3 linked regions of the Caenorhabditis elegans genome follow. The protein of the gene in region 2 interacts with the protein of the main gene of each other region in a pairwise test. Each region holds a gene or a part of one and is shown on either strand. Other genes may lie near its edges.

Region 1 (9,886 bases), on a different chromosome or scaffold from region 2:
GATTGTGGAAACGACTAAATTTTCTGAAAAATTCGAAAAAATTATAGTCTCTAGAACATTTTGATTGTTTTGAGGTGCACCGAGAATATATTTTTAAGGGTATAAGTACGCATAGGATATGATAGGATAGGATATGCATAGGATAGGGTATAATGGATATGATCTATGTTTGATAGAGTGCATTTGCAAAGATAACGGCCCTGCAGGCATTTTTGAAATAATTACAAAAATATAATTTTCCCACTCGTAGGTTATTCCCTTATTTATGATATCTCTTCGCACATATGAAAACTACTTTTTTCAAAACTTTTTATTCTTCAGATTTTATAAATCTATAGACCTTACTTGATTAATATCGTGATTACTCACATTTTCTTGCTCTGCCTGAGCGCTTTCTCTTTCAGCGTGTCTTCGGTTGTATCGGTTGTCTCGTTCCTCTTTTTGAATCTCCGCTTTGGTCTTGCCCATATTTCCCTGAAAAGAACATAATTTAAACTGTGTAATGAAATCTTCCCGCGCGGCGATTTCTTGTAAGCAGGGGTGAGCGGCCATCGGCGATCGCCGATCGCCGACAGGACGAAAAGGGTCGGCGATCGCCGATCGCCGAGTTCATTAGACGGCAATTTTTCTTTTGAAGAAAAACAAGAATTTGTATTCTTTTCATAATTAATAAGTTGCAAAATGCACTTATATAACCTCATAATGAACATTTAACACTTGAACAGTGCATTTTCTTTTGTAAAAATCTAAAGTGCAAGAAAATCGCCGAGCGGCGATCGCCGATTTTTTCAGATTTTCCGGTCGCCGATCGCCGAAGACAAAAATATTAACGGCAATCGCCGATCGCCGCGTTAAAAATTATTATCGGCGATCGGCGACAAAAAAAAACGTGTCGGCGATCGGCGATCGCCGATCGCCGATTTTTTTTCGATCGCCGCTCTCCCCTGCTTGTAAGCTCTCGTTTGTATGTAAACTCACTTTGTTAGTAAAATGCAAGTTGTCAATGTTTGATTAGTGTCAGTTTCTTTCGAAATGATTGAAATATCAATTCTGACAGACAATAATGGTAATCTTGATAAGGTTTTCCACGTCCAGGAGAACACGTTAGTTTTCTTGTTTTAGAAAAAATTGTGGTTGGCACGCTCACAACAGATACGTTGCTTTCTCAGGTCCTTTCTAGCTTCTCCTTCCGGAAGGAGAAGTCTTAATACACATTTCGAGATGTTTTTAATAAGAGAATGCGTCTTGTAGTACAATTAATATAGTTGCGAATCTCGCGCCTCTGTGGTGGATCGTTGGAGGAAGTTAATAAACGAATTTTGAAATGTCAGACGTTCGACTCGCCATGACACTCATGAGAAGGAAATATGTTTCGAAAACAATTACATTCTATCCTAATAATATTTTTCCCAATTTGTGTGAAAAATTGTGTTGTTATTCTCGTCAAAAGAAAATTAAATGGTATCACAAAATGATCAACGGGTAGGAGATCCTAAACTGATCCTATAAACCATAGTATAGTTTGGGGGAGCAAGTTGGGGGAATAAGTTTACAAATGGGAATAACATTTAAATGGGAAGCAAAGACTGATCGGTTTAGTTTCTCTGGCAGCAGCTTTAACGACCGGTTCCAAATGGAAAGATTGGAACGCAAAAATGCTTTGTTTGAAGCTCCAATAGACTTCAGCATATAGGGGTATCTCGGTGATTGAGCTGGAACTATTAACCAAAGTTTAACTTTGAAAAAGCCGAAAAAACTCGAAAATCACTCTCATCTCAAGACAGAAGCAAGCTGCAAGTGAATAATTAGGCTTGTTTGATAGATAAAAAAGGTCTCTACACACTGACATGTTGAACGGATAGCTTTGGGCACCAAATTCAAAAGTTAAGAGCCGGGGAGCTATTAACCAAAGTTTCCACGAAACTAGTGAAAAACCAGCTGAAACTGCTAAAGCTGGCGGATTTTTAACCGTTAACCTACTTTTTTTCCAAATTCGCCGAATTAGCTGTTAGCCGAAAAAACAGTTAGCCGCCCAACCCTGACCGTAATGTGAATTTTAGTGAAGTGCATAATGTCTGCTTCTTTCGTACATCTGTGTTTATATCGCCCATAACTTGTCCAAAAAACTGAAACAAATTCTGTCGTCAACTATTAACTACATATTCCCACTAACCTTCCACATGTATCCATCAACTGTTCCACCTATAATATGCACACAGATGGCAGAATCAAGACCTTTAAATAGAGTTGAAAACTTTTTTGCCTTGGAGAGTTGTTTCACTGAAACAAAGGTAATAAGATAAGGGGATCAGACTTTTCTTACTGTAACTTAAGATGTTCGGAAGAATTGCCATTTCTTCTCCAAAAAATATATATTTCCGGCCACAAGTTGTTGGGAAAGGCTCGTATCCAAACTGTATAAGTTCACGAACTACAGTAATCGGATGTACTGATGTCATTGCAACTAAAGTCTGAAATTCAGACTCTGAATTGGTGAATGGAATTAAAGTTTTCATCATGATAAGTTGTAAGTATTATTTTTGACGCTTCAGAGCTGAATGAATAAAATTGATGACTGATTTGACACCTAAATAAGTTCTTAACAAAACTCAAAATTCTCGGAAACTGACGAGTCGTGACGACATACAAAAATTCGATAAAATTTTGGAATTAACGTGCATCAGTCTCACCAATATCGTATAATATTTGAATTAATTTCAGTATTCTGAAAGCTCTTCCTACAGGCGCATGGATTTATTCTAAAAAGGTCTCACCGCGGGAAAAAGGTTTATGGTAGCACATTTTTTTCAAGTTTTTTTTAGCGGAATTTTCAATTATTTTTCAGTTTTTATTACGGTTTGTGTTAGTTAAAAGTATGTATTTTTGTTTATTCGATTAGCTAAAAAACAATTCATCGAAAAACTATGAAAAATTAATGAAATTTCCGAAAGTTTGAACCTACAGTACTCATTAAAGGCGCACGCCTGTTCGTATTGTACAAAAATCTGTCGTGTCAAGACCGGGGTTGGCTCAAAAACCCTAAAACCTCGTGTCTGGTTAATAAAGGATATTTCCAGAAAAAAGTGAAATGGAAACCTAAGTTATTTTTGAACTTTGAAAATATAGTGTGCTCTTGGATCTGGATAATTTACTATGACTTCAGCAGCTTTATCTAATTCCATGTTTTCTTGTTTTCGCAACGTATTTTGTATTTCATGAAAATTTCACGGATGGAACGTTGACGAAGATGATCTAGATTCGCTAGTTCAGCTGTTATATCATCAAGAACTTGCATTGTTGCAGCTGCAGCAACAGGCCTTTCAGGCACTCGAATGATAATTTCAGCTTGCTGCTGATTTATAAACCCAGCGCACATGAAATGAGCAACAAAGAACCCAGTGGATCCTTGCTTCAGGAAACAATCAATGTGAGCAGGCATATAAATGTGGAAGATTAGTTAGGTGAAAATGTGATTGTGCATTATTATGGAGTCTCTTGAGAAACGTAGCCAGAACAAAAGTGAAGGTGAGATGTAGAAAGTAGAACGACAAGCGTGGAGACGGAGAAAGGAGTCAATCGGATCGAAAGCTCTTCTTGTGAAGGCGTGGAGGCTTGCCTTGTTTCTATTTCCGTCTTTTCGTCTCTCGTCCCACTTTCAACAACACGTTACCGACAGAAACGAATAGAAAAAATGAGTGTCTCGGAAGAAAAGAAAGAAGCAGTCCATTGCAAGCCAATTGGAGAAGAGTCACTTTTAGACAGCGAAGAAGATTTTGATTTTACATCCTCACCCCACTAGCTAATCAGTTGCCTTATCTGAAAACAAAATTTGAAAAAGATTACACTCAAAATAAAAAAACAGCGTGGCGTGTACTGCAGAAAACCTCATATTTAGGCCCCGCCTTTTTCTCGTCCACTCACGGACGAAAAGGCAAAAATTTGGCTCAAGCTAAGACTGTTTCTGATCACAAAATGTACAACTTCATGCCCATCCCAATTTCAAAACATCAAAAAATTTCAAAGTAAGCTCACGTGATCGGACTTTGCTTTCAAGACGTAGCCAAAAAGAAGAAACCAAAGAAGGGGAAAAGAGGCGACATATTTACTATCAGTGAGTTTTCAAAGCTTCATATCTCCAAAACCCCTGTGTTATCGTATTACAAAACACAATGTTGCAGTTGCGAAATTGAGAACAAGAAAGTTCTAGCACATTCTAGAACTCCTTTGAATTTTCGAGAAGTTTCCAGAGCATTTTTACTTAGAAAATTTGAATTTTCCTCCAGTTTGTGATTATGTCTCAAAATGGACATGGCCAGTGGGATTCTTCTTGCCAAAGATCTACTATGTAGAAACATAAAACAGCGCTTCATATCTAGTAAAATGATGATACAAGATCATATATTTTTCAGAATGCCGATATGAGATTTCCAACGAACACTCGTTCGAAGTTCATAGTCAAGGTGAAATGGGTCCAGAAATAGAACGGAAGTCGCATTTAGCGTATCAAGTCGCTCGTTTCGAAGCAGTTGCTATGGGCTTCCCGGTGCAATATAGACAAGTTGTTGTCGAATTCTACTATCATGGCCGATTGGATGGATCATCGGGTACCCTGGCGACTGCGGTTGGGTTGTTGGCTCTCTTCACAGGAGTTGAGATATCACCCCGTTTTGCCATCACGGGTTCTCTTGATGTTTTCGGTTGGCCCCCATATTGTTGCCTTTTCTCCGTGAGTGGACGAGAAAAAGGCGGGGCCTAAATATGAGGTTTTCTGCAGTACACGCCACGCAGTTTTTTTTATTTTGAGTGTAGTTTGTTTACAAAAAAAAACTATAAAATTTTAAATTGTAGATTTAACTTCATCATAGGATAACGCTAAAGCTAATAAATTACGGGACACATGTTGAAATTTAAATCGAAAATCTAAAGTACGGGTTTGGATTAAAGGAACATTTTAGTTCTATGAGATTTGAGTCTAAAACAACCGATGATTGGTATATGAAAAGGGATTAGCAAAACTCGAAAAATACATTATAGCGAAGATTGGATGAAGTTGGGGACGAAAATCTTATGCAAAGTAAGAGTTGCTAGCGTAAAGTTGTTGATCCACGCCGACAGTGACAGCTCCCACTTGTTCACGAAGGAACAGGCGGTTTCCACGCTTGAGACCAATTGGGCGAAGGTAGTCCCATGCTCCATGCCAGTTGTTGAAGGATGGTGAATATGGGAGGAACGAAACGGCTAGTCCTGAAATAATCTTTTATTTTAAAAGATACTGTTATTCGCATGCTTACCTGATCCAGCAACAGCCATAACAGTGGATACAACACTGTATGGGTAGCCGAAGGAGTTGACGAGGAATGGAACAGCAGTATGGATGAACTTGTGAACATCCTTGGCAGCCTTGGCTTTCGTTTCGTCCTTATTCTTTGTGTCTCCAAATTCAATGCGGAGAATAGCTCTTTGAATTCCGTGAGTAATTAGATGAACTCCCCAAATGACGAGAAGCTCTCCAACGATCTGAGGAGCAAGTCCGCTGAAAAGTCCTCCTGGACCTTCCTGCTTTCCGATGACGGCCAGAGCCTGGGCGCAGGTAGTGTATTTAGTTTCATTGCCAATAACTTGAGCAACTTGACGAGCAAAGCAGACTGGAAGAGATTATTATACAGTTTAATCGCAAATAATTTAACTTACCAGCAAATGGTCGTGCAGCAGTAACAGCAACAACACGAATGACAGAATCGCGGAATCCGTTACGAATAACTCTTCGGAATGATTCAGCATCGGTGAGTTCATCCTCTTCTTTATCTTGATTTAAAAGAGGTCCTCCAATATTGGGGTAGTACTCGTCGATGTACTGTAAGATAATTTTTTACGGTTTTCAGGAACTTTCAATGAGAAAACTGTTTACCTGCTGAGTGCGGTGAGAAGCAATACCCTGAACAGCCAAAGCAGCGATAGCAGAGTCGATTCCAGTCCAAAGGGTGATATATCCACGAGTAGTTCCCAATTGCTTCACTAAATTTATGATCATTACCGAAGATTATTTTCGTGAATCCTACTATAGCTGAAGAAGTTAGGAAGGAAATACGCATTTCTTCCTGCAATGACGAGAGTCTTTCCTGTAGACAATGGGAACGGTTCATGACCAAGCTGGATAAGGGTACGTGTCACGGTCAAAGGAAGCGACAACGAGCTCAAAGCGAGCTTGGCAATAAGACTCTTGGCGAATTTCTCCTGTAAAACTGAATTTCAAATCTATTTCAATAAGACTAAACTCTCATCTTCTGGAGCAAGCCCAAGGAAAGCGTCTTGTTGATTTCCTTCAGCCATGATTCACTGAAAATAATTAATTTAATAACAAATGAAAATACAAACTAATATTTTGGGTTAACTATAGTTATATTCATAAAAAATAGCAATCAGACATTAAATGAGAAAAATCGAAGATAAAAAAAATGAGCGGATAAACAATAAACATTCGCCGCACAAAAAAGTGGGCGGAGACTGAAACGCAATGTGTGCGCACGTTATCTCACTCCTCTTTCTGTGTAAGAATTGCAGAATTTTTTGTCTTAAAAACAATTTTCTGATAGTTGAATAAATTTCCGTCAGTTTTATTGTTTTTCACTTAAATCTCACTGTCACTGATCTAAAAAATATTTTTAGAAAATGTCTTCCGGTGGAGGAAATCAAAAGTCAGATGGACAAGTCGAGGAAGATGCCGCTGAATGCAAATTTCCGAAAGGTATTGTTTTGTTTTTACTGAGTTTTTGAATTTGGTGATTTTTCCTAATCGGTATATTTTCAGAATTCGAAACAACAACATGCGACGCTCTTCTGACCGCTGAGGTTTACTTGCTTCTGGAGCATCGTCGTCAATCGAGTGAAAGCAAAGACGAAATTGAAGAGATGAGCGAGGTAGTCTCAAAACTATTTCAGTCGATTAAATTTATTGATTTATAATATCATTTTTATATTAAACGAATTCAGGTCTTCATCAAAACTCTCAACTACGCTCGCCGCATGTCTCGATTCAAAAATCGCGAAACTATCCGTGCAGTTCGAGCGATTTTCTCCGAGAAGCATCTTCACAAATTCGAAGTTGCGCAGATTGCCAATCTCTGCCCTGAAAATGCCGAAGAAGCCAAAGCACTAGTTCCTTCTTTGGAAAACAAAATCGAGGAGTCTGAACTAGAGGAAGTTCTCAAGGATCTGCAATCCAAAAGAACATTCCAATAAATACAAGCAAACTAATCCCATATTTATCTGTATTCTCAAGTTACTGTAATTGTCCTATGAGATCTCTCATAATGTGTTATTTGATACAATGAAATGAAATTTTGGAAATGTTTATTAATGTTTTTCAAATAATTTGTTCAATCGAAAATGAATACTGGTTTCATATTGTTTTTTTTTGTTGAAAAAATCACACTATTGAACCAGATGGTGCAGAAATTGAGCAGACCGTCTCCAGATTTTCTCAAAGGCCTTAAGAGCATTGTGAGTTTATTTTTCACATTATTTGTTAATGTACTAGAATTTTTCAGTTGCAAGGCGATCATCCTTCTCTCAAGCAGCTCGAACAAGATATAAATATATTTTATATGAATCAAAGACAGGTAGGATGGGAAACTGGTTAATTTTTACCAATTGTAGAGATTTCGCATGTTTATAATTTGAATCCAAATTTTCAGAGCCAATCAATGTTGGAGGAACGAAAGCTTTATGTGGCGTTGGTTCGAAAATACCTGAAATCCGAAGGAGTTACCAAACAACTCGCTTCGCAAGGAATCAAATTGCGTGGACTTAGCGTTTTTGGAAGTTTCCCGACGCACTGTGCCTCGAAAGACAGCGATCTTGATCTGTGTGTGTGTGCGACGGCAACAGGAAATAAAAAACAGTAAGTCGTTTTGCAGCCTTACTTTTGACGATTTATAATAACTTTTGCAGACTGCCGGTAATCATTCTTCAAGCCATTTTTCGAGACATGATGTACAGTAAGGAAGGGCAGAACATTTTTGGAGAGAATGTCGTCAGCGGAATTTCGTTTGTGCAAACGGCAAAGGTTCCGATCATCCGATTCAAAATCAACGATGTGCCAGTTGATTTGAGTGCAACATTCGATGATAATCCTCGAACAAGTCTCGCCGCAAAGTATATCAATGCTTACTGCCAGTAAGATTAATTTCTGGAAATAACACTTATTGAACTAATTTATTCAGACTCGATGATCGCTTCAAAATTCTCGTGATGTTTTTGAAAAAATGGATGAAATCAGAAGGGAGAGCTGAAGATCATTTGCGAATTTACCCCAACTCGTAATTTCTAACCTGCAAAAAGTCAGAGCAAAGTCACCATTTCTTTCAGATACTCGATTATTCTTCTGCTCATTCATGTTTTGCAATGGTATGATATTCTACCGAATCTTCACCAGACCCACAGTGATCTTTTTCATCGCGGCAATTTCAAATTGTCGGACTTGGCGGAACTACGTCACGAGTTCAAATTTCCTCTTGATGAAAACAGTTCGTGATAAAATGATCAATTGAAATAATTGGAATTTAATTTATTTCAGCTATTTCAATGCATAGAAAGAGACCATCGAATGATCTCACTGTTGTTCAGCTTCTCTACCTTTTCGCTTGTCAATACTCCAACCATGTGGTATTGCTGAATTATCGATTCAATATGCGAAATGGTGAAATTGAAGCTCTATCTCAAAAGTGAGTCGTCGTTTTTCAAACTCAAAATAACAAAAAATTGTTGCAGGGATCAAGACTATCAGATCACTATTCTCGACGCCTACGATGTGCGAAATCCAGGAAGAAGTGCGCGGAATGCTTTGGATCTTGTGAAAACTCTCGAGTAAGTTGAATTGTAATTTATTATTTCAAAAAACTAACTATTTCAGAGCATTGAAAAGCTTGTTGGTGCAGCCCCATGAAGGAATGTTCAAAACTGTCATGGAAATCACAAGGAATAGAACGTATGAGAGAGTAGTACCGCCTCCACAAGTTCTCTATCAGGAGTGAGTTGATATTTTACTCATTATTGTATTGAAAATGATTTTTTTTCAGCTATGACATGCAGTTTGGTGCTGATCCATACAATATGCCATTGGTCGGGTCTGTCGAGTATCAGCAATGGCTAGAACAGGTGGCAATGCATCATCAGATTCAAATGATGCAAGGACAAATGATGCAGCAGCAAATCGTCTTCACAGCGTTAGTTAAGTTTCAGGAAGACTATCCCAAATGTTTTACTTTCAGACCGGAGATGTATTACTACTCACAACAACAACAACAACCACACCCGATCTTCGGGATTCAACAATCTTCCCAATTCTTCTGAAAGTTTGCCGTTCGGGTAAATAATTTGTGTACATTGTGCATTGTACTGTGTATTTTATTTTCCACTTCTATGAGTTTCAAGAAAGCCACATTCATGCGAGATCATTTCATATTAATGTGCCTCCCTTTAAACTCATAGAAGTGGAAAATAAAATACACTCGAGTTGTGTAAATCATTTGTAAATTTTTTTTCGACTCACTTGTTTTTGTTTAGAATTCATATATACCGGTCTGAATGTTGACCATTTGTTTTTTTTTTCACATACCCGTTCCTTTTCCCGATATGCCATGACATTTTTCTCTGCCTCTCGTTTTTTCTTCGTTCTTTATTTTCGTTCTTTATATTTCAATAACTACTTTTCTCTCTTTGTGTAATAAATATTTTTTTTGTGTTATCCATTTCTGCGTCAATGTTTTCCGAACTAAAAACATCATACAGCGATGTAAAAACCAAAACGAACTCTCCATTTGCAACTTGTTTTAGTTTTTGGATGAAGCATGCTTCATGGTTTTGGAGTATATACACTTACATATTC
Region 2 (11,329 bases):
CACAATGTCTGCGTAGTATACACTAACGATAACTCTAATCTTAACATCATCCTCCGTATCTACAGTAATCCAATCTGGATTTGTTGTCATTCCACTAGATATTGAGCATGCTGGCTCATTGATTGGCTTCTGAAAAATACTGCTTTTTTTTATTTATTTGATATTTTAGAAACCTTTGTGTTTTCATCAAGAACTGAAAAGCAAACTGTCTTGATAAGTGATGACGCATGTTTTGACTTTGATTTTGCTGGAATATCAGTATCATCAATCCAATCCGAATCCGCGTAGAATTTGAATTTTCGTCGTGTTGCGTTCATTTTTCTTACGTACATCCCAACTATAATCACTATATCAACATCATTGGCAAGTTGTCCAGCAGCTTCCTTTTCAGTTTTCTGAAACAAAAGGTTTGCGAGTTTTTTGGTTTTTTTTTTTTTGAAAAAGTCAGGCTCACCAATGTCATTTCAATCCTTTTTGCTTGCTCCAAAGTTGGGAAATTATGCAAAGCCTTCTGAGTATCCGCCAATTTTCTTATCATTTTCATTAATTCTATTCTAGATCCAACTTTGTGAACGCCGAGATGTTCTAAATCATTCTGTGTCATTCCCAAAAGTCGAGCGCCAGTTATCCGATTTCTGAAGACCGCCGCATTCACTCTGTCCAAAAACTTTTTATCGTTTGCTGAAAAGTTTCCAAAGTATAGAATTTATGATTTTAAACTATAAATGTTTGCTTACCAACTCTGCCAAGAACAGTTTCAACCCAATGAGAAGTGTGATGCTCACTCCATTGATGTACATCCTCTGGTGGATGACGTGCCGAATCCAAGACTGCTTGCTCGACTTTCATTCGTTGTTTAAGGGCTTTCTCGCGGATTTCTAGTTGCTCACGCCTTTTTTCGAGATCCTTTCTCATTTTCTACAAAAAAATTGGAACTGTTCGAAATCCAATGATATATTTTTGAAACATTTCAAAATGAATAAATTTTTTCGATGATCATAAATACCTCAACATTTTTTTCTTGTTTCTCGATTTCAGTTTTCCAATCTTCCAATCCCATAAACTTTTCACATTCGTCCATTACCTAAATTAAGTTATACACTTGATAAGCTTAACTTAGAAACCCTGACTTTTTGATTTCCAGCGAGTCTGTTGAGTTCACCTTGAATTTGGCGCATGTTAGCTCGATCTTTCGGTGTCATCTTCCAACAATTACTCATTAATCTAAAAGAAATTATCATAAATTTAGAAGTTTATTTGAATAATCAGAATGCCAAAACCTTTCACAAAGTTCAATGATAATTTGCGCAGCAAATTGAAATTTGAATATTCTACTGGTAACATTAGAGTTTCAAATTCAATTTACTCAATTAAAGTACGCATAAGAGTGTTTTATGGTTGATTTTTCCTATATTCTTAAAAGAAAACTTCAATTTAATTGATATTTAAAAAAAAAAACTAAACTCACTGTTTTAATGGAGCTGGACACGATGGGGGTATTGCCAATGTAATTCCAGATTGAGTGATCATTGTGAATATTCGAAACTCTGAGTAGTCTTTATACGGTACTTCTTTTGATAGAATTTCCCAAAGAACAACTCCATAACTCCAAACATCTGTTGCAGTAGTTAGACCTTCTGATTGTAGTATCATCTCGGGGCTAAAGTTTTAATATTTTCTGCTATCTCTAGTAGTTGTGAAAATTTGAAAACTTACCTCATCCAAGCGGCCGTTCCACCCCACGACGGTGCTGTGCAAGAATGTGTGAGATCCTTGGAAGTTCCAAAATCGCAAATTTTACACACAAGGTTTTTATCAAGAACGACATTTTTCGATTTCAAATCTCTATGAATAATGGTGTCAACTGCGTCGTAGTGGAGATATTGAATACCACTTGCGATCTGAATATTTAAATGTTGAAGGTTTTATTTTTTGTATTTTCTTTAAAAAAATACTGATTTTAATCTAGCCCTACTAGCCCTACAAAAAGTTTTATCAACATTTGGCGACTTGATTCACGCCTATTGCTAAAATGTACATTTACTTTTTTGTCTAAATTTAATAACTTTATTTATCCTATGTTCCAAATTGAACAAACTCTAATCAAAACAAAAGGTTTTTAAAATTATTTGTAGTAAGCCACGAAACCTACAATTTTTACATTTTCAAATTACTATTATTATTAGAAATTCTCCTATTTATGAATTAAAAACTCACAAAAATATTCCCACCTGAGACGCCCACTTAACAACGACATCAAATGAGTTTCCACCAGATGATGAGGCAAAACTTTGAGATTCTTCCGAATGTATAAAATCATAAAGACTTCCTTTTTCAGCATACTCTGTCACAATGAAAAAATCATTTCCAGTTGCTTTACAAATTCCATAAAACTGAATTATATTCTTATGTCGAATTTTCGATAAAATCTCTGCTTCTTTTTCCAACACAAAAACTTTTTTCAGTGCAATTGTTCGTTGACTACCATCTGGAAGTGTCCAATTTCCACTGAAAACGGCTCCAAATGTGCCTACTCCTATATGATCTCCAACTTGAATATCATCTCTTTGAATATCTGGAAAGAGCACACGTTGATCGGAATTGTTTGATGAAGAGGATGTCGATTCATTTGATGTTGGAGTTGACATCTTCTGGAAAATTTTGAAAACTGAGAAACAGTTTGTTTTTTTTTTTCGGATATCTCTTAAGGCATAGAGAACGTATATTTTACAGACTGAATTTTTCAATTACTTCAGTGAGATACAAATTTTCAGAAAAAGTAGAAAAACTTTCAGGCAAGAAATACCTGCATGCCTAAAAAGCCTAACGTGAATTAAATGTGCCGGGGTGCCTATCGGTGCTGAATTTGTAAAATACATAGAAAAAGTGTCAAGCAAGAAACGAAAGCAACGTTTCCGGGAAAATGGCGCCTTTTTGGTATATTTCATAATCTAATTTCTATTCTCAATCTGATAATTTTGCTGATCTGACTAACTTCTAAATAAACAATTTGCAAAAAAATGAAATTAAAAATGGGCGATAGGAGTATGTTAAGTTGAAGCAAAGTTTTGGAGCATCTGCAGAACTATATCTTTTGAAAATCTTTTTTTTGTGAAAAATATGTATCAAAACATTGCAAAAAAATAGTGTTATATATTGTCAAATTAAAACATTTGAGTATCTTCTCAATAATCTTCCAACTTGAATTACACAAAAAAACTATTTGTAAACTTTGAAACTGATCTTTGATGTTTCAAGAAAAAGGTCATAGAATACAGTTTAATTGTGAAAGATTTCGTAAAAAGCATTGGTCAAAACTAGAATAATTGTGTGGGAGTAGACATTTGAGACCTAGAGAAACAAATAAGTCAACAATTGGCAGCCTCGATTGACAGAGGAGAACGATTAAAAATTCAGCTCGACTGCAAAAAGCAAAGAAGAAAAAGAAAAACCATGCACTTATACTCCTTGTTCTTTGTTTTCCTCTTGTTTTCCTCGTGGTTCCTAGACATACTTTCAAATGAACAAGATAGTAAATCAGAATGAGAGAGTTTAGAGAAAACAAGAACAAATCGAATCGAAGAAAAGAGTACCCCCTTCCCATGCATCATCAAACCTTCCCGTCGGGATGGAGAGTGAGAGAGACATGAGAAGGAGAAAGTATTTTAAAGTTAGGGAGAGACAGACAATGATAACCGATTATTTGATGAGAAAATAGTTTGATATTGGGAGAAAAAGAGTTGAAATGCAAATTTTATGCGGTGAAGTTGACACTGAACTTTTTGCAGGATCACAGAACTTGAAGGTGGAGTATTGTCAGTTGAAATTCCGTGTAAGTACACCAATCATTACTGTCAGTAGTACTGGATAAGGAGGTGTAAGAAACACTGGATAAGGAGGTCTACGTAGCACTGGATAACTCGCAATTGGATGATGTGAACACCGAGGGACCATGTGTCGAGGATTAGCTGAATCCGTGAGGATATACGGGCACATTTTCGTGTTCCGAAAGAAACCCCAGAAGAACTTCCTTCACGAAATGGTGGGCTCGGCACAAGCTCACATTTACCGAAGATGGAGCTGAGCTCTCAAATCGCTCAAGTCTCGAGAAGATGCGAGTGGCAGCATCCTATACGTTCCAGATGCTCAGATGTCGGACGTATGGCACATAATCAGCAACTCCGGTACAGTGAAATGTCAGGATGCTGGTAAACAGGCGGAATCAGTATATCCGAAATGGATGGTTCAAGAGTGGGTCTAATTTTTAGGCATCGTCTTAGTCTGTAGGTGAAGGTAGGAAGGACATCAAAATTGGTACGGGAAGGAGGTGTCAGTAGTGCTGGATAAGGAGGTGTAAGAAACACTGGATAAGGAGGTCTACGTAGCACTGGATAACTCGCAATTGGATGATTTCCATGATTCCAATTTGATAGCAGACACGTTTGTTGATCTTTTCACTTTTAATTTATAAAAAATAACCTCACGCCACCGAATTCCTCCTAATGTAAAGACAAAGCAGGATCGAAGTTGTGGCTGATTTACGAGCAATCACGTTTTTAAGATTAGTCAAGTTCTTTAAAAAAATCGAGAAATTAGATATTTACTTCAAAAAGGTATGAATCCGTGTAATTAAAATTTAGTTCCATTCTGGCAAACGTCCACAGACAGCTCCATAGTTCCAGAGATCGTAAGCACCTTCATTTTGTGGATGCTTTACATAGTTACAGAAGACGTCATTGATCAGTTCAGTGCGGGATTTGAATTGAGAAATTGCGAGTTGGAGGCAAGATTCGATTTGTCTGAAAGTCATATATTAACTATTGGCATTCTAAATGCAACTAACTTCTCAAAGATGGATTGTCCTGGTTCAGTATCAGCCCAGCTCTTCCACATGAATGTATTATCAGTGTGCTTCTCATCAGTAGTAAACCCAGTGGATGAGTTTCTGCATGGTTCGGCATTCAAAACAGTTCTATCGTCAGTCTCGCAGTTCTTCAAACGATGTCCATCAACAATCATTCCTCCACGATCCAATTTCTTGGCAGAAAGGAAATCACGAAGAACAGTGGCAAGTTTGGTACGCTCATCAAGATTCTCAAATGATGTCAGGATTGATCCATCTTTTTCACAAACTTGTTTGGCTTGATTTGGTGAGATAAGAGTGTCAGACAAAATTGCCTGAAAATAAAATGTTGCACATAAAAATGATAGATTGTAAACAAGTGTATTACCTTGACACACCACAATCCAGTCATCGAGTTCTTGGCTGATGGAGCTCTTTTGAATGAAAAGTAGCCATCTGGACATTTCAGGGCACAGTCGGCTGAAATTATACTTTTCAGGAAAGAAAGTCTTTAAGCAAGCTTAACCTGCAACGAGAGCCACAACAAACGCTGAAAGAATAAATTTCTGCATTCTCTGAATACCAGGAAAGTATGAATTTTACGACTATTTAGAGAACTATTTATACTCCTTTGCAGGTGAGAAAAGGAAGATGCAAATTTTAAAGTTTCCCATCAATAATTGGAAAATATCCCAAAGTTCACTGTATTTTCCATAAGATTGGTAAAGTATCATTTTGAGTTCTCACCCATAAGTTTGCAGAAATAATTTTAGAAACTTAATTGTTATATTGAGCACTGCAGAGAAGAGTATAAATACTGATATGCAACTTCAAAAAATTCATAACTTTCTAGTATTCTGAACATGCAGAAACTAATCCTTTCAGCTCTTTTTGTAGCTCTCGTAGCAGGTAAGACCACTTCTTTAAACATATTTTTCTGAGAAAAAACTATTTCAGCTGACTGCAACATGAGATGTCCAGATGGATATATGTCATTCAAAAGAACTCCAACCCCCAAGAACTCGATGACTGGGATGTGACGTGTTAAGGTATCCTACTTTTTTTGAATTCCTGGTATATTCCGAATTATTTATTTTTTAAGAAATGATTTCTGATAGACCAATCTTGCTCAAAATCAATTTAGGGTTCTTCTTCAAAAAGAAAAGAGGGTCAGAATGAGCTCTAAAAATCTAAAAACATTTTTCAATTGCTGCCCCTTGCCTCTTTTCTATAATGTTTTTCAGGCAATTTTGTCTGATACTCTCATCTCTCCAAATCAAGCCAAAAAAGTTTGTGAGAAAGATGGATCAATCCTGACATCATTTGAAAATTTTGATGAGCGTACCAAACTTTCCACTGTTCTTCGTGATTTCCTTACTGCAAAGAAATTGGATCGTGGATCAATGATTGTCGATGGACATCGTTTGAAGAACTGCGAGACTACAGATAAAACCGTTTTGGCTACTGTAGAATGCAGGAATTCATCATCTGGTTTCACTACTGATGAGAAGCATACTGATAATACTTTCATGTGGAAAAGCTGGTCTGCAACTGAACCAGGACAGACCATCTTTGAAAAGTTAGTTACAGTTGCAAGTTGTTTTTTTTTAAATATGATTTCCAGAAGCATTGAATCTTGCCTTCAACTCTCAATTTCTCAATTCCCTGCTCGCAGTGAGCTGATCAATGACGTCTTCTGCAACTATGTAAAGCATCCAGAAAATGAAGGTGCATCCGATCTCTGGAACTATGGAGCTGTCTGTGGACGTTTCCCAGAATGGATCTAATAGTTAATTTTACGTATTGGATTTGTTATAAATAATCATTTGCTCAAAATTTTCGAGCATATTTTCAGAGTAAACAATTAAAAATCCCAAGAATTAGGGGGCGTTTTTGTCGTGACCGAAAAAAACTGCGAAATCATTCTGAGAATTTCGTTAAGTAAATGTTCGAAGAACATGACAACATTAAAAGAAATCTTCATAATTAAAAAGAACCAGCAAATGTAAAACATGTTACAAGTATCATCATTAGAGTAGGTAAATTCTGAATTCAGGTGGTTGCGAGAAGGAAAGCGTTTTTAACAAATCATTATGTCATTGAATTTGGTTCCATCAAGTTCGTCCTTGGAGTTTGCTTCATTTTTTGATCGATATACTGAAAATATTTCATTTTCACAGAAAACTCAAACAAAATAGGGTACTTTTCCGATTTCTGCCCCCAAAATGTTTTCGATATATTCATTAATGAAACGTTAACTTTTTTGTTATTTAGTATTGAAATAAACATTCACGTGAGAATTGAAATTGAAATATTGAACTTAAAAAATTGGGGGGGCAGAAATCGGAAAAGTACCCAAAATAGAAATATGGCTTAATTTTGGATGATATTTACAAAATGTACAAAAATTTTATAGAATATTTTTGATAATTTGATAAATTTCCAGATACGATTCCTTCTCAAAAAAACTTACAGCCAGTGGCACATTGAGCCGAAGTTCAAGCCAGCAAGGCGTGGATGTGACGTCTTGACGTGGATAATCTTCTCCCCAGCCCTGAAAATTTGTTTATCGAAGTTTCATTTGAAAATCTCACGATAAATTTAACAAGTATAAATCTACAAGGAATTCAAACATTTAGAACAAACCTTTACAAAAGAAATACGAATAAAACAGTGTTTGGAGAGTTCATTCAATCCATCGCTATCGTTGCACGACTGTTCCAACATCTTAATTTTTGACAATTGTTGAAGAATAGCATGAAAATAATTTTAAATTTTAAAAACCTCACTTGAAAAAATAAATTAAACTCAAAAACGCATAATTGACTGTGCGGTGGTATTCGGCAGACTTTGACCAGTGGCATGTTCATCATGAGATTCGTATTTTTGGATTGCACAAAAACTGGCATATCAGAGTTATTTGTAATCATAATATGCATTTGATCTTCTTTATTATCAAGCTGAATTCCTTTTCCAATATGCATCCGTGTGTTCTCAATTGTTCCATTTCGATTCACATTGGTTAATTGTCCAAGACATATTCTGAAATTTCCGGATTATTTTAATAAAGAAACCGGTAAGAATTATTATTATTCAGAACTTCTCGAAGTTAAAGCTTCGAATCAGCAATTTTCACGTTAATTAACTCGAAGTGTCCACTTTTTAATAACTATGATAATATTATAGAGAAGATATGTATTATACCGTATTAATGGAGGAAATTTAAATCAAACTAATAATATTTATATTTTGTAAGAACATTTTTTAGAAGTCCGACCGAAATCGAAAAAAACTAATTATTTTTTGGTTTTTTCACTTTTAAAATCAATTTATTTCTACTTTCGAATGTCTTTCAAAATCTTACCTTGTATTTGAATTTGATGGATTAGTATATCCGTCGACTGTAATGCTCAGATTCACTAGCTGAAACTCCAATTTTGTTTTGTTTTGAAAAATCAAAACCTCACTTTAAAAACTTCTCCAACTCTCGAATTCAACTCAAAATACGTAATTTGGGCCCAGGATTTGGGATGACGGAACGGTGGAGGTCGCTGGTGAACTTGCTGAAAATTATAATTTTTGCAAAAATGTGTATTGCAAAAAAACTAACCACTTCTCCTCCATCTTCTGAAAAAACCGACGGGCTCGGCGAGCTTGCACAAGATGCCGTTGAGCTTCCACTAGACTGCCAGATAGCTGCAATTTTATGTATTTTTCATTTAATTTCCCTAGAGAATTTTAAAGAGAGTTTAGTTGTTTTTTTTTAATAGAAGATTCTGATATGTTTAAACAATTTTTAGATCCAACGCTTACTGTTTGGAGATGATATTGGTTGTGGTGATGGCATTGAAGAATTTAAGCCTTGTGGTCGTGATAATCTGGAATTTTATTCATTTTTGAAATGTATTCCAATTTTAAACAACTTTCAGAACAAACCTCTGATAGTGATATGGATTAATGCAGATGTACATGGTTTTGGAACTAGATTCATATGGGTAGGAGCATGTATCAATTGAACGTAATTCCTGAAATGAACATTCAAAAATTTCAAATTAATATATCCAATTAACTTACATGAGGAGAACTTATATCCGGCCACCGCCATACTCGACAGTAAATCACATGTGGAAGACCTTTCTTATGGGATACCTGAAAAGCCGGAAGTTTGGCGTCAAAAAGTCGTTATTTCAAACCAAAGTGTTATTTTTGAAAGTTATCACAGTTGTCTGATTAGCGAACAAATTTACGTTAAGCAACCACAACGGCGCCACATACCTGTAACCGACCGTCTAAACTTTTTGCTATCGTAATGCATCTTGAGTTTGTACATGGGTTTGCTAGAACACATTCCAGATCTTCGAGGGTTCCTGGAATTTAGAATTTGAAATGGATCGGTTGAATTTCTTTTTTTTTAATATTTATGATCTAACTTATAAATAAGGTGCACTTTGATTCATGAATCGAAAAGGGTCATCGGAAAATGTTAATCATAATATTATATTGTATCCGTAACAATATGCTTAACATTCGGATGGGTCTCGCCGCGCCAATAGTATTTTCGAATACATTCGAAAATGTTAAGTTTGTTTTTTGGTGCTTTCTTCTTACTGTTTTTATAGTTTTTTGCAAGTTAAAAAAAATGAAAATCATAAGAAATCGTAAGAAAAATTAGACTAAGAGGAAGGAGGCTCAAATATTTCTACTGTAAATTTAAAGGTAATCACAAAAATAGTTTTGAAACTTTCATAAGCGCGTCGAGACCCTTTTTCAGAAATGTCCCTCCCTAAATTATTATAAATTCCTTTAAAAAATATATTTGACTAACCACATCCATTATTTTTCTTTTTTAATTTTTTCACCAATGCCTCAACAGCCTTCTCACACCATTTTTCTTCGTCTTCTCCAATTTTCCAACCTAAAAGCTTTTTGACAGCTGGACCATGCATATGCAGTAATCCGTTCATTTTGACTGAAATTTTGCTCTCATTTCAAAAAAACTAATTCAATAATTATTATCGATTTTTGTTTTGCGCGATAAGAAATAGTAACAGGTAACAGAAACAAAAAAAGTGGGTAAACTGAGCGGAAAATGAATGAGAGAAAGAGAGAAACAAGGCTAAAAGTGAATGTTTGAGTAAAGGAAATGATGAGATGATAAGTGATAACAGGGAAGGCGGAGGAGGTAAAGAGAGACTGAGAAAATGAAGATGAACACAAAGAAAACAAAAATGAATCGTTCTTTTGTTTGCACTTTTAAATTCTTTTTTCATGACATGACACCGTTCTTTTTAATTGAACAATTTGAGTTGGGATGAGGGATGTTCCAGACAAAACGTGGCAAGTTCTCACATTTTGGAAGAATGCCAAAATGTTATTTTCTTTTCTGATCAGAGAAGATTTCCATATATATTACATTTTAATTATTTTTCGAATATTTCTATTTCAACATTGTAGTGAATTGTCCAAAAAATTCCAGATTTCACGAAAATTTGTCACTTTACTAAAACTATTCAAAACTTTTTTTTTTAATCGAAGTTTTTATTATGATATTCGTTCATGGACTTTTCGAGTAGAAATTCCCACTGGCAATACTCCATTTAAAGGCAGAGTACTGTAGCGCCAGTGGGAATTTTGTTTAAATACACATATAATAGTTGCCACTCTTTGACATAAAATAAAAAATTTCAAAAAAAATTTTGAAAGGTTTAATTATGATATTCGGTCTTTTTGGCACCATAGGAATAGTTTTTAACACTTTCCCCACTGGCACTACTCCACCTTTAATCATCTCGAAAAAATATATGGATTTGAAAACATTGTCACTATGATCTCATGTTGTTTATGTCATTTGCTCAAAATGAATTTCTATCATAAAAATGTTGAATAACGTGAAATTGAAAAAGTATTTGCGAAACCCGGATGGAATCACATCAGACTGGGGCAGTGTTGGTGGTGACCTTTCCCCACGCCCTGCAACCGATATAAAATAGTGTCCGTTGTGTTGGGGGATAGATGTAGGTAGAATAAAGGTAAATGTGCCCTTGTGTTAATCTTTGCGTCTCTTCATGGCGCAACCCTCTCTCAATTTTCCCAATTTCTTAGTGCCTTTGCGCTTATTGGTCACATCGGTGACCGCTCGTTGAAATAGAATGAAGAGGGAACAGGGGACAAAGGATGGTTGGGGACACAGTTAGCAAGAAAAAAAAAAAAAGTCAGAGAGCAATTTATTCTTTCAAAAACATGAACATAGTGAGAGGGCGAAATAAAAACAGTTGAAATCGGTATTTTGGAGGAAGAAAAACGTCATCGGGGGAAGAAAGAAAAGGCGAAAGATTGATCTGTAGAGATCCAACGATGATGAACTCAAATGATTATGTTTAGAGATGGGGACAAACAATTCGGGGAGCTACTACAAATTTGAAAAAAAAAAGAACAAATTAATAAATAAGGAGCCTAAAAAATAAGGAGCCTAGATGAACAAAAAAC
Region 3 (11,423 bases), on a different chromosome or scaffold from region 2:
CGGCGGTACGAAGGTGGCGGATCGTTTTGAGAGAGGTTTTGGGAGCTGGAAATGACTTTTTTTTTTGTTTGGAAATTTAGACTCCGCCCCTTTATTGGTTCGATTTTTCAAATCAAATTTTTTCTTAAAATTTAAGCTCCGCCCCTTTTTTGGTTAGATTTTTACAAAATTTTTCTTAAATTTAGGCTCCACCCTTTTATTGGTTAGGTTTTTTACAAATATTTTCTAAAAATTTAAGCTCCGCCCCTTCGTTGGTTAGATTTTTACAAAATTTTTCTTAAATTTTAGGCTCCGCCCCTTAGTTGATTAGATTTTTACAAAATTGTTCTTAAAAATTTAAGCTCCGCCCTTTTATTGGTTTGTTTTTTTTCAAAACTCCAATTTTGTGAAAATATTGTGAAAACAAAAAAAAAACAAAATAATTATTTTACAAAAAAAAATTTGCACCAAGAAATGGGCGGAGCTTAGTTTCTTTTTTTCAAAATCTAGGCTCCGCCCATTTTCTGGTTGTTTTTTGTTGTTGGAAGACAAAAATTGAAACTCGGTTAAATAAAAAATTAACTTTGAAAAAAAAAAGTGTGTTGAAAATTTAGGCTCCGCCCCTTTATTGGTTTGATTTTTACACATTTTTTTTTTCAAATTTTAGGCTCCGCCTCTTTGTTGGTTAGTTTTTTGTGTTTTTTTTTTGAAGAATTATTGAACCCGAAATTTTCAACTTTTTTTTTTTCGAAATTTTTCTTAAACTTGAAGCTCCGCCCCTTTATTGGTTAGATTTTTTTTCAAAACTCCAATTTGTGAAAATGTTGTGAAAACAAAAAAGAAACACAAAATAACTGTATCCTAGCAACAAAAAAAACATTTGAACCAAGTAATGGGCGAAGCTTAGTTTTTTTTTTTTTTTTGCGAAATCTAGGCTCCGCCCATTTCCTGGTTGTTTTGTTTTGTTGGAAGACAAAAATTGAAACTCGGTTGAAAAAAAAATTTAAATTTGAAAAAAAAGTGTTTGAAAAATTTAGACTCCGCCCCTTTATTGGTTCGATGTTTGTGGAAAATTCGAATTTTCTCAAAAAAAATTAGAAAAAACCGCGCCCAGCTTGCTAGGGGGGCACGGTTTTCTGGGCGTGTCCACACCTCAATGCCTAAAAACGGGCTTGAAAAGCCGCCGCGCTTGCGATTTTCCACGTTTTCCGAGTTTCCAGGCGTCATTGGAGGCATTGGGCTCTGGATTTCGGGCTTTTGGGCCGAAATGGGCTTCTGGGGAGGCCCAGTAGCAATTCTCTCCTGAATCTCGACGCTCCAGGATCCGATATTGATGATTCGGCCGTCTTCAAGCTGGTCCAGGCCTTTTAGCGCTGAGGATCTGGAAAAATCGATAATTTTCAAGTGTTTTGTGGAAATTTTGAATTTTTTAGAGTTTTAGGGGTAAAAATGGTTTTTTTTTTCGATTTGATAGGTAAAAATTTTCACAGTTTTTGAGGTAAAATTTTTATTTTTTTATTTTACGGTAAAAATTCGATTTTTGCACAGTTTTTGACGTAAAAATTCAAAATTTCGCCAATTTTTCAGTTTTAGGGGTAAAAAAAACCAAATTTTCGGCAATTTTGCGGTAAAAACTCCAAATTTTCACAGTTTTCGGGTTAAAAAATGCTTATTTATCCGATTTTGCAGGTAAAAATTCAAAATTTGCACATTTTTTGAGGTAAAATTAACTTCTTTTTCGATTTTTCAAGTAAAAATTTGAATTTTTCTCATCTTTTGAGATAAAAAAAATCAAACTTTCGCCAATTTATCGGTAAAAAATCTAATTTTTCAGTTTTTGAGATAAAAATTTTTTTTTTCGATTTTTCAGGTAAAAACTCGATTTTTCACATTTTTTGAGGTAGAAAAAGCTTATTTTTCTGATTTTTTCAAGTGAAAAATAATTTTTTGCCAATTTTTCCGGTAAAAAAATCGATTTTTTCACACTTTTTGGGTACAAAATGTCTATTTTTCACATTTTTCAACTAAAAATTGTTTTTTTTAATGTTTTCGGGGTAAAACTTCAAATTTTTACATTTTTTGAGGTTTAAAACAATTTTTTTTCGAATTTTCCGGTAAAAAAATCGAATTTTTCACATTTTTTAGGATAAAAAATAGTTTTTTTGCCAATTTTTCGGTAAAAATTCAAAATTTTCCCATTTTTTGAGATGAAAAATCAAATTTTCGCCAATTTTCTAGTAAAAAATTCAAAGTTTTCATAGTTTTAGGGGCAAAAATGCCTATTTTTCACATTTTTCAACTAAAAAATCGATTTTTTCTCCAATTTTCACGAAGCCAGGCACCAACCTGCAAATGACGTCACGCTCATCTTCCGACTTCAGGAGACACGAATCTGTGAAACACACGAGAAGACCGTCTCCTTCCCAAATTTTGTGTTTTCGAGTCGAAGCTTTTCCATAGAGAACGACAAAACGGGCGATTTCGGCGCTCGGGGTGTCTGGAATTTTGGGAATTTTCGAAAAATAAAATTTTCGACCACAAAAGAGGCGGAGCATAAATATTTCGTTCAGCTCCGCCCATTTTTTGGGTCTTGCGACGAAAATGTGTCCCGTAATCTTAAAGCCTTACGCATTTTCGTCGCAAGACCCAAAAGTGGGCGGGGCAAACCTAGCCACGCCCATTTCTTGGTAGATTCCGATCTGCCGAATTTTTGTCCATTTTTGAAAAAATATGAAAAAGATGGGCTCCGAGATATATTTTCTCTGTGAGACCCGAAAAATGGGCGGTAGATTCCGATCTGCCGAATTTTTGTCCATTTTTGAAAAAAATTGAAAAAAATGGATTTTTGGTAGATCGCGGGCGGCCCTTTTTTGGGCGGGGCTTAAATTCCAGGAAGATTTTTTTTCGAAAAACACGATCTGCGGTCACAATTTCGTCGCGAGACCCGAAAAGTGGGCGGGGCGTAATACGCCACGCCCCTAAATTGCGCGGGGCTTAACAAGGCACGCCCACTCCTTGGTAGACCATGGGCGGCCCATTTTGTGGGCGGGGCTTAACTTTCTGAATTGTTTTCCCGAAAAATATTCGGGGATCACGATCTTCGCAGCGAAAGTGGGCGAGACATAATAAGCCACGCCCGTTCCTGGTAGATCATGGACCGACCAATTTGTGGGCGGGGCGTCAATTTCTGGAAGATTTTATTTTGAAGAACACGATCTACGGGCATAAATTCGTTGCGAGTCCCGGGAAAGTGGGTGGGACGTAATACACCACGCCCCTTAAATGGGCGGAGCATGTCTGAACACGCTCATTTCTTGGTAGATCACGGACCGACCATTTTGTGGGCGGAGCGTCAATTTCGGGATTTTTTCCGAAAAATATTCGGATATCACGATTTTTGCAGCGAAAGTGGGAGGAGCTTAGTAGGGCACGCCCATTTCTTGGTAGATCGTGAACCTGCCATTTTGTGGGCGGGGCTTCAATTTCTGGAAGATTTTTTTTTTGGAAGAACACGATCTACGGAAACAAATTCGTTGCGAGCCCCGGGAAAATGGGCGTGGCATTGCTCCGCCCATTTATTGGCTTTTTGTAGAAATTGTACATAGATTCGATTCCCGGCGATATGCGTTCCCTAAAAAATTGTCCGGCTAAGCTCCGCCCCTTTAATGGTGGATTTCAGATTCCAACCATTTTTGGTCGTTTTTTTTTCGAATTTTTCAGCCAAAAATGCCAATTTTTCAGAAATTTTCAGCCTATAGGCGTAGGCGCCTACCATTTCCCTCATAACTATCCACGTTGAGAACCACTCGGGACATCTGAAATATTAAATTTAAATTTTTGGCCTAAAAATCTGAAAATCTGGCAGCAAAAAATATTTCGTCCTAAAGAAAATCAACTATAAAATTGGCCAAAAAATCGATTTTTTAAATATATTTTTCTCCATAAAAAACGATAAAATCACAGATAATGGCAGCGAATATATTTGGAGAAAATTGGAGGTCGCCGCGGCCGAGAAAAACCTCGGTCATGGAGCAAAAATTGGGGAGAAAAGCAGTGATTTTAGTGTTTTTTTTCGGGGGGGGGGGGGGAACTCGGGAAAAACAGTGGGGAAATAAGTGAAAATTGGGCACCTAGGGGGGGGGGGGGGGGGGAAATTTTGGAAATTTATTTTTTTGGGGAGCATTTTGAGCATTTTTTTCGAGTATTTTCTGTGAATTAAAGAGAGGGAAAATAGGAATAAGCATGGCACACACAATGTTAAAATTTAAGGGATTGAAAATTTTTTGAAAAAAAAATTTTTTTTTTTTTGAATTAAAAAAAAATTTAAAACAGAAAAAATTGCAGATAAAAAGTGAAAAAAATACTGTTAATATTTGGCAAGACGCGAATTTTTTATTCCAAATTCTTCAGATAATGTGTTTTACGGCTTGCAATTCTGGCTTAGCCACGTCAGGCCTTCGTGTAGGCCGTCTCCGGTTGAAGCACATGATGGTTGGACGTACCTGCAAAGAAATTAATTGGAAATTATGGGTGAAAATCCGTGGATTTTTAGGTGAAAAATGAAGGTTTTTGATTGAAAATCTGAAAAAAATCAATTTTTTCGGTGAAAAATTGGCCTAAAACCGACAATTTTCGAGTTTGGAGCGTTTTTTTTTAAGGAAAAATGGGTTTTTTTAGTGGAAAAATTGCTGAAAATCCGGAATTTTAGGTGAAAATCGGTTTAAAATCGACATTTTTCGAATTTTGAGCGTTTTCAGGTGGAAAATATGGGTTTTTTAGTGCAAAAACTGATGAAAATGCCGTAAAATCCGGAATTTTAGGTGCACAATCGGTGTAAAAACGGAAATTTTCGAATTTCAAGCACTTTTTGATGAGAAAATTGGATTTTCCGTGAAAAACGGATGAAAATAGCTGAAAATCTGCAAAAATTCGATTTTTTTTGGGAAAATTGGCCAAAAACCGACAATTTTCGAGTTTGGAACATTTTTTTTAAAGGAAAAATGGGTTTTTAGTGAAAAATTGTTGAAAAACTGCTTTTTTTTTGTAGAAAATCGGTTAAAAAAAGGAACTTTTTTTGAATTTTGAGCGTTTTCAGGTGGAAAATATGAGTTTTTGAGTAAAAATTGGCTTAAAATAGCTGAAAATCTGGAATTTTTGGTCGAAAATCGGAGAATTTTCGAATTTCAAGCACTTTGTAATGGAAAAATGGTTTTTTTTTTGTGAAAAAACGGGAAAAGCCGGCAAAACGAGTTTTGGGCGTTTTTTAAGGGAAAAATTGAATTTTTAATGAAAAAAAAATGTTGAAAATATGAATTTTTGTTAGAAAATCGGTTAAAAACGGAAAATTTTCGATTTTCAAGCACTTTGATGAAAAAATTGAATTTTTACTGAAAAAATGCTGAAAAACTGCATTTTTTGATGGAAAATGGCTCTAAAACGATAAATTTTCTAATTTTGAGCGTTGTCAGGTGGAAAATTGGATTTTTAGTGCGAAAACTGATGAAAATGCCTTAAAATCTGAATTATTTGGTGAAAAAACCGAAAAAAAGGCGAATTTTTAGAGTTTTCCGTTAAAAAAAAAGAAGAAAAATTTCGTTTCTGGAGGTTTTTTAGAAGAAACTGAGGGAATTTTAAGCGAAAATCGCTATTTTATGCTTTTTCTCCGAGAAAATTTAAAAAAATTGTATTTTTTGCATAAAAACGAGATTTTTAGTGAGAAATAATCGGAAAAATTTGATTTTTACACCAAAATCTGCATTTTCTACCCATTTTCCGAGAGAAAATGGGTGTTTTTTGATGTATTTTTGCAGAAAAATCAGTTTTTCCTCGAGTTTTTGATGTTTCTTACCAATTCCTGTCTCGAATCCTCGTCAATCCCAATTTATCCTGAATTTCGTGTGGTTTCATCGCTGAAAATTGCATTTTTAGTGAGTAAATCCATTTTTTCAGTAAAATCGGGCATTTTTAAGCAAAAAAAGCTGAAAATTCGAGTTTTTAGGTTAAAAATCGATTTTTTCCGAGTTTTTCGGGGTAAAATCGCTCATTTTTGAGCTGAAAATCGATTTTTTCCGAGTTTTAGGTGTAGCATCGCTCATTTCGCTCAAATTTTCCGCCAAAAAAGCCACAAACCATCGGCAAGATCCTGTTTATTGGCAAAAACCAAAATAATCGCCTCCTTCATTTCCCGATCATTAATTATTCGGTGAAGCTCCATTCGCGCCTCGTCGACTCTGAAAATTCCGAATTTTTCCGTTGAAAAAATCGATTTTGTCCAGGAAAAAAACCAATTTTTCCGCATTTTTCGCCTAAAAACCTGTCTCTATCAGCGGCGTCCATCACAAAAATGAGCGCCTGAGTTCCTGTGTAATAATGTCGCCAGAGGGGTCGAATTTTGTCCTGTCCGCCGACGTCCTGAAGAAAAATTGGGGTTTTTGGGGGTTTTTAGGCCAAAATCTGGGGTTTTTAGGCCAAAATCCAGGGTTTTTGGGGCGGAAAACTCACCCAAACGTTGAATTTGATATTTTTATACGTGACAGTCTCCACATTGAAGCCCACCGTCGGAATTGTGGTCACTGATTGCCCGAGCTTCAGTTTGTACAGAATTGCTGGAAAAAAAATCGATTTTTTCCATATTTCTAGCCGTAAAAATCGAAATTTCCGCCAAAAACTCACTGGTTTTACCCGCCGCATCGAGTCCGAGCATTAATATCCGGAGCTCCTTTTTGCCAAAGATTTTCGACAGGAATTTACCCATTTTTCGATCTAAAAATGTGATTTTTAGGCAAAAAATACCGAAATTAGTGCGATTTTTGAGTAAAAAACTTGAAAAATCAACAAAAATGAGTCATTTTTCGCGAAAATTCGCTTTAAAACGGCGGAAAAAGGAAGAAAAAATCAATTTCCGCGTGGCTCCGCCCAGTTTTGCAAGCGGCGCGCGTGCTATTTGCAAGTGGTGCGCACGGGATTTATTGTTTTCGTGTTTTATTTTTCGTGGAATAAATCGAATTTATTATTGATTTATTCAATTTTTTCAGATTTTCAGTGAAAAAATCATGAAAAATTGCTAAAAATTGAACAAAAAATGGTGGAATTAAGTCTGGGAGTCTTTTTCCGATCGTTTAACGCATCGTAAGTCTATTTTTCGAGCTAATTCACCTAGAAACCCTGAATTTTTTCCAGAAAAGTAATTCTCTGCGCTTGTCTGCTAATTTTCACGGCATTATTCACGTTAAAACTCGATGGAAAAGTCTCATTTAGGTTGGAAATCCTCAAAATATCAGAAATTTCCCGAAAAAATCGATTTTTCCAGCTACGCATTCGTTTTTGCGCCGCTATGGGCCTGTAATCTCCTAGTTTTCGTCGGAGCCATCGTCGGAATTTGCTCTTTTTGCTCAAAACCACCGTCGAGGTGGGAAAAGCTGGAAAAAGCTGGAAAAATGTGGAAAAAATAAAGAAATTTGACATTTCAGAAACGAAATTGTGATGCGTGTCGACTTTTCGGCTATGCTAATCACTGCTACCGAGCACATTTTTCTTTGTACATTTGTTTCGCTGGTTTTTATTAAGGTAAACGATGGAAAAGCGGATTTAAATAGATAAAAATGAAGAAAAATGGCCAAAAATCGAGTTTCTACGTGGAAAAGCGAGTTTTTCAGCGAAAAAACCGAATTTTTTGGACAAAAATCAAGAAAAAGCCGAAAAAATTGCGTTTTTTTCTTGATTTTTTGTCAAAATTGCTTGTTTTGACCTTAATAATCGATAAAATGGGTCAAAAATGTGTAAAAATAACCCTTTTCAAGCCAAAAAACTACATTTTCTGACCATTTTGCTTGAAAAAAAAGTGAAAAATCTTCATTTTTTAGAGCAAAGCTCAATAAAGTAGCTGAAAAATCGATTTTTCTACAGTTTTTGACTCGAAAATTCATAAATTCATTCCTTTTTCACTGAAAAAATGAAAAAAATGAAGAAAAATCAATTTTTCAACTTTAAAATCACAAATTTGCCCAATTTTTTATTGAAAAAATCGATAAAAAAAGGTTTTCTATTTTAAAATATTCAAAAAATCCAGATTTTGAGGTGTTTTTACCCAAAAAACAAAAAAAAATCTATTTTTTTCGATATTTTAACCTTAAAAAATGGAAAAAATCAAAATTTTTGGACTTTTTTACTTTAAAAAAATCGTAAAAATCCAGATTTTTATGTATTTTAGCCCAAAAAAAATCTAGTTTTTTAGTCTTTTTTACCCCAAAAAATCCCAAAAATCCAAATTTTCAGGTAATTTTACCCTAATAACAGCAAAAAATCCAGTTTGTTGTCTTTTTTACTCTAAAAACAGCTAAAAATCTAGATTTTTGGTGTATTTTAGCCCAAAAATCTGGTTTTTTAGTCTGTTTTACCCCAAAAAATGCCAAAAATCCAAATTCTCAGGTCATTTTACCCTAGTAACTGCAAAAAATCCAGTTTGTTGTCTTTTTTACTCTAAAAACAGCTAAAAATCCAGATTTTTATGTATTTTAACCCAAAAAACTAGAAAAATCTAGATTTTTGGTGTATTTTAGCCCAAAAATCTAGTTTTTTAGTCTTTTTTACCCCAAAAAATGCCAAAAATTCAAATTTTCAGGTCATTTTACCCTAATAACTGCAAAAAATCCAGTTTGTTGTCTTTTTTACTCTAAAAACAGCTAAAAATCCAGATTTTTATGTATTTTAACCCAAAAAACTAGAAAAATCTAGATTTTTGGTGTATTTTAGCCCAAAAATCTAGTTTTTTAGTCTTTTTTACCCCAAAAAATGCCAAAAATCCAAATTTTCCGTTCATTTTTCCCTCCAAAACCCGTATTTTGTTTTCCAGCTAGAATTCGATTATCTCTTCGAACCAGGATATCCACTTCCATGGACAATTGTATTCTGTCCATTATTCTCTTTATCAATATTATCAATTGGAATAGCTATATGGTCCCTCCGGCATGATAAACCATTCGAATTTGAATTTTTCTACGCAATTAATATTGTTCAGCTGGTTTTTATCGCTTTCAAGCTGGATAAACAGGTAAAAAATCGAGGAAAAATGACTTTTCCAGTGAAAATTTTGAATTTTTAGTACAAAAATCACTAGAAAACCCAAAAAATTCGCTTAAAAACCTCCAAAAATCCACTTTTTTGGTTAAAATCACAGCAAAACCAAAAAGTGTACGGAGCCCAACAGGAGATTCTGGTTCCGGAGAAACGAATCTATGGGAAATGTTCACTCATATTGGCACCGCCCAGTTCTTGGCTGTTGGGAATTTTAATTTAAAACTGTAGAAACGGATCCAAGAAGTGGGCGGGGACTAAATGGGGATTCCGGTTTAGGAGAAGTGAATCTATGAGAATTTTTCACTAATATTGGCTCCGCCCACTTCTTAGCTTGCGGATATTTTCATTTAAAACTGTAGAAAACGGAATAAAGAAGTGGGCGGAGCCTAAATGGAGATGATAATTCCGGAGAAGCGAATCTATGGGAATTTATCACACATATTAGCTCCGCCTACTTCTTGGCCTAAAAAAAATCCATTTTTTTCTATTAAAAAAAAATCACAAAAACCCCAAAATTACCTAAAATAATCAACATTTCCCAAATTTTTGCAGGTCGATTGGACATGGGCAGTCGTATTCATACCTCTATGGGTGGTCCTTTCCCTTGCCGCTGTCGGTGTTCTCTACGCTCTTGTGCTCTCCGTTGTGCTCATCAGATCTCGTCATTTCATTCCGGCTCACCGTCGCCAACACGTTTATTCTGCGATTTTACACACGTTTTTCGTGAGTTGAGCTAATTTCAGCTAAAAATTGCCATAGATTCGCTTCTCCGATAACTACGATCCCAACATAGGCTCCGCTCACTTCTTGGTTCTTTTTTTTTCTACTATTTCACGTTTAACAATTAAAAAAGCCAGTTTTGAGTGAAAAATTCCCATAGATTCGCTTCTCCGATAACTACGATCCCAAAATAGGCTCCGCTCACTTCTTGGTTCTTTTTTTTTCTACTATTTCACGTTTAACAATTAAAAAAGCCAGTTTTGAGTGAAAAATTCCCATAGATTCGCTTCTCCGATAACTGCGATCCCAACAATATAGGCTCCGCTCACTTCTTGGTTCTTTTTTTCTACTATTTCACATTTAACAATTAAAAAAGCCAGTTTTGAGTGAAAAATTCCCATAGATTCGCTTCTCCGATAACTACGATCCCAACAATATAGGCTCCGCTCACTTCTTGGTTCTTTTTTTCTACTATTTCACATTTAACAATTAAAAAAGCCAGTTTTGAGTGAAAAATTCCCATAGATTCGCTTCTCCGATAACTGCGATCCCAACAATATAGGCTCCGCTCACTTCTTGGTTCTTTTTTTCTACTATTTCACATTTAACAATTAAAAAAGCCAGTTTTGAGTGAAAAATTCCCATAGATTCGCTTCTCCGATAACTGCGATCCCAACAATATAGGCTCCGCTCACTTCTTGGTTCTTTTTTTCTACTATTTCACATTTAACAATTAAAAAAGCCAGTTTTGAGTGAAAAATTCCCATAGATTCTCTTCTCCGATAACTACGATCCCAACATAGGCTCCGCGTCACTTCTTGGTTCTTTTTTTCTACTATTTCACATTTAACAATTAAAAAAGCCAGTTTTGAGTGAAAAATTCCCATAGACTCGCTTCTCCGGTAGCCACCTTTTCAGTTTAGGCTCCGCCCACGTCCTGGTTCCCCGCTTTCACTCAAAAATTCCAATTTTTCAGGTAATTCCAGCGCTGGTATGCCTTGTACTGCTTACTGGAAAGCTTGATTCGATGAATTGGCCGGATAAAGGATCAGTATCAGAATTGAGCTATACGGTAAGAACTCCGCGAACACGAGTTGCGATTTGTTAGCTGGAAAATCGGAAAATCTGATTCTCCGGAAAAAATTTTCCCGAAAAACTCGGAAAATCGGCATTTTTGTGTCAAAATTACAGCAGAAATCGTCTGAAATCCAAGATTTTAATAAAAAAATTCGAAAAAATCATGGGAATTGGAACCAAGAAGTGGGCGGAGCCTAAATGGAGATTCTGGTTCCGGAGAACCAAATCTATGGAATTTTTTTTTCACACATATTGGCTCCGCCCATTTCATGGCTTTAAAGTTTTTTAATTTAAAATTGTAGAAAACGTAACCTATAAGTGGGCGGAGCTTAGCTGAAATTGCTGGTTCCGAAGAACCAAATCTATGGGAAATTTTCGGGTCCGCCCACTTCTTGGTTTTGGATTAATTATTTTGGAGAGAGAAATTCAAAAAACTGTGGAAATCAGAACCAATAAGTGGGCGGAGCCTAAATGGAGATGCTGGTTCCGGAGAAACGAATCTATGGGAAATTTTCGACTCCGCCCACTTCTTGGTTTTGGATTAAAGATTTTCCAGTGATTTAGCATTGAAA

The links.
Region 1: the proteins of sma-3 (region 2) and mtch-1 interact in a two-hybrid assay, tested with the Caenorhabditis elegans proteins (one large-scale study listed by BioGRID).
Region 3: the proteins of sma-3 (region 2) and arf-6 interact in a two-hybrid assay, tested with the Caenorhabditis elegans proteins (one large-scale study listed by BioGRID).

Annotation. Positions count from the first base shown.
Region 1 is NC_003280.10:7,367,837-7,377,722, forward strand, and holds mtch-1 (Mitochondrial carrier), read right to left. Parts: upstream 6,331-9,886; coding exon 6,281-6,330; intron 6,236-6,280; coding exon 6,060-6,235; intron 6,016-6,059; coding exon 5,909-6,015; intron 5,855-5,908; coding exon 5,692-5,854; intron 5,646-5,691; coding exon 5,292-5,645; intron 5,245-5,291; coding exon 5,066-5,244; 3' UTR 4,779-5,065; downstream 1-4,778. Other genes in the region: F43E2.6 (Ovule protein), read right to left, coding at 346-468; F43E2.11 (Peptidylprolyl isomerase), read right to left, coding at 2,025-2,126, 2,174-2,280, 2,324-2,459; rpb-4 (RNA polymerase Rpb4/RPC9 core domain-containing protein), read left to right, coding at 6,670-6,745, 6,809-6,918, 6,991-7,239; F43E2.1 (Poly(A) RNA polymerase mitochondrial-like central palm domain-containing protein), read left to right, coding at 7,444-7,500, 7,548-7,619, 7,695-7,900, 7,951-8,175, 8,223-8,318, 8,368-8,525, 8,576-8,723, 8,770-8,865 and 3 more.
Region 2 is NC_003281.10:6,854,157-6,865,485, forward strand, and holds sma-3 (Dwarfin sma-3), read right to left. Parts: upstream 9,813-11,329; 5' UTR 9,808-9,812; coding exon 9,669-9,807; intron 9,211-9,668; coding exon 9,119-9,210; intron 8,993-9,118; coding exon 8,918-8,992; intron 8,869-8,917; coding exon 8,780-8,868; intron 8,722-8,779; coding exon 8,657-8,721; intron 8,540-8,656; coding exon 8,454-8,539; intron 8,407-8,453; coding exon 8,311-8,406; intron 8,267-8,310; coding exon 8,208-8,266; intron 7,886-8,207; coding exon 7,633-7,885; intron 7,571-7,632; coding exon 7,490-7,570; intron 7,398-7,489; coding exon 7,317-7,397; intron 7,001-7,316; coding exon 6,935-7,000; 3' UTR 6,818-6,934; downstream 1-6,817. Other genes in the region: Mitogen-activated protein kinase kinase kinase zak-1, read right to left, coding at 1-129, 174-395, 455-681, 738-918, 1,007-1,084, 1,131-1,224, 1,469-1,660, 1,717-1,901 and 1 more; clec-158 (C-type lectin domain-containing protein 158), read right to left, coding at 4,637-4,799, 4,844-5,178, 5,232-5,323, 5,370-5,415. UniProt on the Caenorhabditis elegans protein: Involved in TGF-beta pathway. Plays a role in male tail tip morphogenesis.
Region 3 is NC_003282.8:16,942,438-16,953,860, reverse strand, and holds arf-6 (ADP-ribosylation factor 6), read right to left. Parts: upstream 6,742-11,423; 5' UTR 6,734-6,741; coding exon 6,652-6,733; intron 6,585-6,651; coding exon 6,481-6,584; intron 6,391-6,480; coding exon 6,293-6,390; intron 6,210-6,292; coding exon 6,109-6,209; intron 5,889-6,108; coding exon 5,828-5,888; intron 4,482-5,827; coding exon 4,400-4,481; 3' UTR 4,127-4,399; downstream 1-4,126. Other genes in the region: rad-54.B (DNA repair and recombination protein RAD54-like), read right to left, coding at 1-45, 1,132-1,360, 2,326-2,476, 3,752-3,794; Y116A8C.9 (Transmembrane protein 185B), read left to right, coding at 7,061-7,107, 7,159-7,236, 7,289-7,387, 7,449-7,545, 8,831-9,028, 9,607-9,777, 10,751-10,846.